Sus scrofa: one gene and its partner. The protein of the gene in region 2 purifies or fractionates together with the protein of the main gene of each other region. This does not show direct contact. Links are inferred from orthologs where the notes say so. Each region holds a gene or a part of one and is shown on either strand. Other genes may lie near its edges. The genes, in order: ISG15 and HERC5.

Region 1 (3,276 bases), on a different chromosome or scaffold from region 2:
GCTGGAGCCAGGAGCACCCCCGCCGATGCACCCTCACCTGCATATCTACACATATATCTGTCACAGGCAGGTCTGCTCCCCCTCCCCCACTCAGCTGTGGACCCCCACAGACCAGGAAGGAGGCTTCTGGGTCTTCAGCCAAATGCCCTGAAGAGCCCGAAAGCAGAGGTCCTCAGAGCCATGCCCAGAGAGGTCCACGTCCTGTGCTCCTGCCTCCCCCATGTCCAGGGCTGACTCAGCCTGGCTCCTGTGGGGCTCACGGGGGAGGCTGGCTTCCCTCACAGCTCACCCAGACAGGCCACAGGGGCTCATGCCCCCACTGCTTCCAGGGGCACTCACCTGGCCAGGCCTTCTCCTCCCTGTGCTATCTGCTGACCCAGATGTGGGGCTGCAGAGCTGACCACGGCACAGCAGGAAGACAAGGATGGGCTCTAGCGGCTGTGCCTCTTTTTATTTCTCTAGAAGGTAATTTCCCAAAGATGTGGGGACACATCTTCGATTTCTCTGGTGTGTGTGGGGCACCATTTTGATCCCACAAGGCTTGTCCCTTAACTTGGCAACTCTAGTCTGGTGACCACCCAGCAACCTCTGGGTCCCCTCATCCCACTCCCTCCTCCATCTCACCTCCTGTCTCACCAAAATGGGTGCAGAATGGAGGACTGACACCGAGATGGTGCTGGCCAGAGAAGAATGGACGCTTTGTTACACTCAATTTTGCCACAGCTTTATTACTAGCACTCGGTGAGGTGCTCCCCTGGCCCTGTCCCGCCCCCCCGCAGGCGCAGATTCATATACACGGTGCACATAGGCTTGAGGTCATACTCCCCCAGCTGGTGCTCATCCTCCATGGGCTTCCCCTCGAAAGTCAGCCAGAACTGGTCAGCTTGCACGCCCTCCTGCTGACACACCTGCTGCTTGAGCTCAGCCACTGTCTGCGTCAGCCAGACCTCATAGGCGTTGCTGCGACCCTTGTCGTTCCTCACCAGGATGCTCAGTGGGTCTCTGAAGCTTTGCACCATCAACAGGACTGTGCTGCCTGGGCCCAGGCCCTGGTTGACCAGGGGCACCCCATCCTGAAGCACATTGCCGGCTGGGTGAGCCAGACGCTGCTGGAAGGCGGGCACACCGATCTCCCGGGCGATCTGCTGCTTCAGGTCCGATGCCATCATGCAGTCCCTCAAGGGCACCAGGATCTCCTTGCCTCCCAGCATCTTCACCTTCAGTTCCCTACCCTGTGGGCGTCACACAGGCTCAGAGACCCTGTCACCAGTCCCAGGGCCACCACATAGTGGGGCAAAAGCTCCTAGAGCCCAGGAGTGCTGCTCCCTCCTCCCTACCCTCCCCACCCTCCAGGAGGGGGACCCCGGGCACTGGAGAGGGCAAGGGGGCATTTCTAGAATGGCCACCACCCACAACCATCATGTCACCTCCCTTCACCAGCTAAGATGCCTCCCTGTGCCGACCCCAAGGGATCTCAGCCCTCTGAGGACACAGACCCTGACGTCAGGAGGAGCCCCATCCCTCCCCTCATGCTTAGGAACCTGGCGGGCCCTGAGCAGCTCTGTCTGCCTGGTACACATAGGTGTTCTGCCCCTGGGAGAGGCCACCTGCCCCACCTGTCAAACCCCCCTCACCATGGCCGTGGGCTTTGGCGACAGGTCCTCTGTGAGCTCTGCTTCGCTGCCTCTGTGCGCTCTGCGTCGCTGCCGCTCAGCTCGCCGCTGCTCTTCAGCCGTGGCGGCTCAGCCCTTTAAAAAGCCTGAGCAGCCGCGTCAGAGGGCGGAGTCCAGGAGCCAACCACCGCGGGAGCCGAAATCGAAATCGGCTTCAGTTTCGGTTTCCTTTTCCCAAGGCAGGCTCCGGAGTGCATGGCAGGAAAAAACAAATAGCAATGACAGGACATTGAGGAAGGGGGTACAGAGTCTCTCCAGCTGCCAGCCAGGCACACGACAGCATCCCCGCCTCCAGAGGTACGTGTTCAGAAACCCCCGGCACGCCCAGTGCCTCACATCCTTTTCACGATGCACAAATAGCATCATAATACCGAGAGCTAACAATTGGCAACTTTCACTTTCCATTTACCAGTTTGCAAAATTAGGAACCTTGGAAATCATTGCCGGGGTTAATTCAGAAATAGCAAAACATAGTGACAGTCCAACCAAGCCAGAGATAACAACCATTGGTTTATGACAATATTTATTCAGGTTTTTTATTCAGATTTTTTAAATGAAAGAGATGTGTCTTTTATTTTCCATGAAAATGAACTCACGAATACTATTGGCAAGGTAAAAAAACTATCTACAAAATGGGAGAAAATATTTGCAAGTCATGTGTCAGTTAAGGGCCTAGTATCCATAATACATAAGGAACGTTTACAACTCAACAACAAAAAGATAAACAACTCATTTAAAAGTTGGGCAAAAGACTTCACAGACAGTTTAAAATAGAAAATACGTAAATGGCCAACAACCACATGAAAAGATGCTCAACATCACTGGCCATCAAGGAAATGCACATCAAAACCACAGCGAGATACCATGTCACACCCACTAGCATGACAATAATAATAACAACGATTAAAAAGAGAACAGTAACAAGTGCTGGTGAAGGTGTGGAGACATTGGAATCCTCATACATTGCTGATGGGAATGAGAAGTGGTGCAGCCACTGTGGAAAACAGTCTAGTCAATCCTCAAAATGTTAAACAGAATTTTCATGTGATTCAGCAATTGCATTTCTGGGCACAGGCCCTAGAGACCCGAAGACAGGTGTTCAAACAAATGCTTGCACAGAAATGTTAACAGCAACTCCGTTCACAGTAGAGGAGTCATAGAAATGGGGTGGGGGGAGGAACCAAATCCATCAGCAGGTGGAGGCCTCACCAAAGTATGGCCCATCCTGGAGTTCCCGTCGTGGTGCAGTGGTTAACGAATCCGACTAGGAACCATGAGGTTGCGGGTTCGGTCCCTGCCCTTGCTCAGTGGGTTAACGATCCAGCGTTGCTGTGAGCTGTGGTGTAGGTTGCAAACGTGGCTCGGATCCTGTGTTGCTGTGGCTCTGGCCTAGGCCGGTCGACTAGCCTGGGAACCTCCATGTGCCGCGAGAGCGGCCAGAGAAATGGCAAAAAGACAAAAAAAAAAAAAAACCAAAAAAACAAAAACAAAGTATGGCCCATCCTTAGGGTGGAACACTCTTCAGCCATAAAAACGAGTGAAGCACTGCCACAGGCTACACTGTGAGGGAACCTTGAAAATATGGTGCTCAGTGAAAGAAGAT
Region 2 (3,815 bases):
CGGCTCGGATCCCGCATTGCTGTGGCTCTGGCGTAGGCCGGTGGCTACAGCTCCAATTCAACCCCTAGCCTGGGAACCCCCATATGCCACGGGAGCGGCCCAAGAAATAGCAAACAACAACAACAAAAAGACAAAAAAAAAAAAAAAAAGATGTGGCTTAAACAGCAGATGTTCTGGAGGCAGAAGCCCAGTTCACAGTTCTAGCAGATTCGGTGTCTAGTGGGGGCTGGTCTTGTTAGAGGTGGAGACGCCAAGCGAGCTCTCTGCGGTCCCTTGCGGTCCCTTTCCAAAGGGCGTTGCCCCCAGTCACGGAGCTCCGAGGTCCCGAGCTCATCTCGTCCCCCTGCAGGGGGGGTTAGTTAGGTCTTCGACCTGGCATTTTCCGGGGAGGAGACACAGACGTGGGAGGTGAGGGAGTGTAAGCGTTGCTGCCCAAGAGGGACGTGCTTGTCGTTGCTGGGACTGCGGCGTGAGATCTCGGTGTGGCAGGAGGGACTTTCGAGACGGTGTCGTCTGGGAGGCGGACAGGGTGCGGGGGGCTGGCTGCTGCCTTTTAAACCCACTAAGACGGCCTTTGCTCTCCTCACGTCCAGGTGGTGAGCTTTTTGCGTGGGGAGAGAACCTGCACGGCCAGCTGGGCGTCGGAAGGGGGATCGCCTCGACCCCCACACCCCAGATGGTGGAGCATCTCTATGGGGTCCCCTTGGCTCAGGTCTCTGCCGGCGGAGCCCACAGCGTGGCCTTGTCCATGTCCGGAAACGTTTACTCCTGGGGAGGAAATGATTTTGGACAGCTGGGCCTGGGCCACACTGACGGTACGGACGCGCGCTTTCCTCCTCGTGTCGTTGCCACGTGTGTCTGTGACTTGAACCCAGGCCTCCCTGTCAAAAATGGCTCACAGCCCCGCTTTGACTCGCACTGTTCTCGGGCTTCAGGGCACACTTGGGCTAAAGGACCTGCCCCGTGTGGCGGTCAGGCTGTCACTGAGACAGGTGTCAGAGCCGAGTGGGAAAAAAAGGGGACACAGCCCTCACCTGGGGACCTCGGCACCCCTGGGCTGTGATTCCCACTTTGGGGGTAACTCGCTGCCCGGCCTCCCCGGGTCGCTTCCCTTTTCTCCAGGTCTTACTTGCTTTCTGGGAAGTGACGCGTTTGGGTGAAATGACTTTCCAGGTCCCCGTGCACTGACCTGTCTATTCATACTTAGGACTGTCGTGTGACAGAAGGCTACTCACATTCTGTGTAGGGAGTCCCCTAGTCTCATCTCACTCGATAAGGTATACTGACATCTGTACACTCGCTCAGGTAACACACCCTATTGAGCTCCTGCTGCAAAGCAGGCGGCAGTATTTCTGATGACCCCAAGCCCCTTGTTAGAGATGGCAGGTGGGGCAAACTCCACGGCTTCATCAGCTGTGATAATATTACACGCCCCCCCACCCCGGGCTGGGGCTCAGACCACAGGCCCAGGGCTCCCTCGTCAGGAGAGCACATCAGTCAGTGCTGGAAAAATACTCGGAGGAGAAAAAGGAATCGGGCCATTTAAACTCACTTTAGCTGAACTCTAAGCACTTGGGCAAGAAAATAATCATGAACTCGGGAAGCGGGGGCGTGAGGCCAGGACACCGTGGTGGAGAATTGGAAAGAAAGAACGTGTCCATTAGGAGGGCCCTTCTGGGCGGGCACTGGAGTTAGCAGATGGGCTGCAATTGAAGCTAATCCAGCCGGGCTAAAAAGAGACCACCGGGCTCGGGGGAGAGGCTTGACATCTCCACCTCCATGTTGAGTCTGGCGTGGGCTGATGGACAGCTCCTGTTGTCCACGTCCTGGGAGCGCCTGTGCTGGGCTTCGCCGAAGTGGTTTGGGTATTTCCTCTGGAGCTCCAGGTGGGATTCTGCCTCGCCTTCTGGGCCCTTGAACTCTTCTCTCCCTGGCGTAGATGCAGATTTTCCTTCCCGTATCGAAGCACTGGACGGTCAGCACGTTGAATTTCTCGCTTGCGGAGCCTCTCACACGGCCCTGCTCACAAAGGTGCGTGCGCCTTTGTCTCTCCCACGGCAGCACCTGAAGACCTGCCCCCGTCACGGTGGGAAAGCACTCGAATGTGGAGGTGGGGACACTTCCGGGGGGGAAGGTCAGCGCTTCCCACGTGCGGGATGGTCCTGCTAACGGCGGGGCTTTGCTTTGACGGTGGTTTTTATTAATTACCCACTGATGCGTGGGTATCCGGGGATATTCTGTATTGTATTTCTCTGGCATCTGATACGAAGTTCTCTTGCTCTAGGGTGGGCTGGTGTTGACTTTTGGTGATGGAAGATGTGGGCAGCTCGGACACAATTCAACACAGAATGAGTTAAGACCCCGTTTGGTGACTGAGCTTGTTGGGAAGAGAGTGACCCAGATGGCGTGTGGAAGGTAGGTTGTAAAGTGACAGCGCACGTTGATAAAATAGATACCGTGAATTTAGAGAGCTAGCTGAATAAAATTTCCGTCTGTTTCTTAGATTGAGATGAAATTTCAAATACTTTCAGATGGGTGCAGATGCTTAATTTACATTATTAAATAATCATAATAAATCTGTATTTTGGTATCCATATTTGCTTTCATTAATTTTTTTTATTTTTTTTTAATTTAAAAAAATTTTTTTTTATTTTTTTTGTCTTTTGTCTTTTTGTTGTTGTTGTTGTTTCTATTTCTTGGGCCGCTCCCTCGGCATATGGAGGTTCCCAGGCTAGGGGTCCAATCGGAGCTGTAGCCACTGGCCTTCGCCAGAGCCACAGCAACGCGGGATCCGAGCCGCGTCTGCAACCTACACCACAGCTCACGGCAACGCCGGATAGTTAACCCACCGAGCAAGGGCAGGGACCGAACCCGCAACCTCATGGTTCCTAGTCGGATTCGTTAACCACTGCGCCACGACGGGAACTCCCATTAATTTTTTTTAAATGAGCAGGTACATTCACTTTTTTTTTCTTTTCTTTTTTGCTTTTTAGGGCTCTATCCGCAGCATATGGAGGGTCCCAGGCTTGGGGTCCAATTGGAGCTGTAGCCGCCAGCCTACACCGCAGCCACAGCAACGCAGGATCCGAACCGCATCTGCGACCTACACCACAGCTCACGGCAATCCCGGATCCCTTAACCCGCTGAGCGAGGCCAGGGATCGAACCTGCATCTTCATGGTTCCTAGTCAGATGCGTTTCCTCTGCGCCACCATGGGTACACCTGTATTCACTTTCTGTTGCTCCCGTAGTGGAAAACCTTTGTAACTGTTCGAATGTGCTCTCATCTTTAAGAAAAATACCTTATCATATATTGGGGGAAAAGTAAACAAACATGAGTTAGAAGGGGTTATTCACTGATATAATCATCCTTTCTCACAAACTTCTCAGGGGTCAGCATACTTCGTTGCCAGTAAGTCTTTCAGAGTGACCACCCTGTAAGACAGTCTTTGCTGATTGGTATAGAATATTCTGAGAAATTTGATTTCTACAGATTTTTCCATCAAAAGTAAAGTAACTCAAACTCCTTGATTTACTATACTGTTTTCTTTCTTTTTTTTTTTTTTTTTTTTTGTCTGTTGTTGTTGTTGTTGTTGTTGCCATTTCTTGGGCCGCTCCCGCGGCATATGGAGGTTCCCAGGCTAGGGGTTGAATCGGAGCTGGAGCCACCGGCCTTCGCCAGAGCCACAGCAACGCGGGATCCGAGCCGCGTCTGCGACCTACACCACAGCTCACGGCAACGCCGGATCGTTAACCCACTGAGCAAGGCCAGGGATTGAACCCGCAACCTCATGGTTCCTAGTCGGATTCGTTAAC

The links.
Region 1: the proteins of HERC5 (region 2) and ISG15 purify together in Homo sapiens (affinity purification with western blotting; 3 studies listed by BioGRID, with this or other methods). This does not show direct contact. The link is inferred for Sus scrofa from reciprocal best matches to the Homo sapiens genes HERC5 and ISG15.

Annotation. Positions count from the first base shown.
Region 1 is NC_010448.4:63,361,638-63,364,913, reverse strand, and holds ISG15 (ubiquitin-like protein ISG15), read right to left. Parts: upstream 1,714-3,276; 5' UTR 1,638-1,713; coding exon 1,635-1,637; intron 1,233-1,634; coding exon 732-1,232; 3' UTR 703-731; downstream 1-702. Other genes in the region: uncharacterized protein LOC110261384, read left to right, coding at 1-151.
Region 2 is NC_010450.4:130,580,953-130,584,767, reverse strand, and holds part of HERC5 (E3 ISG15--protein ligase HERC5), read left to right. Parts: intron 1-593; coding exon 594-815; intron 816-1,939; coding exon 1,940-2,031; intron 2,032-2,284; coding exon 2,285-2,415; intron 2,416-3,815.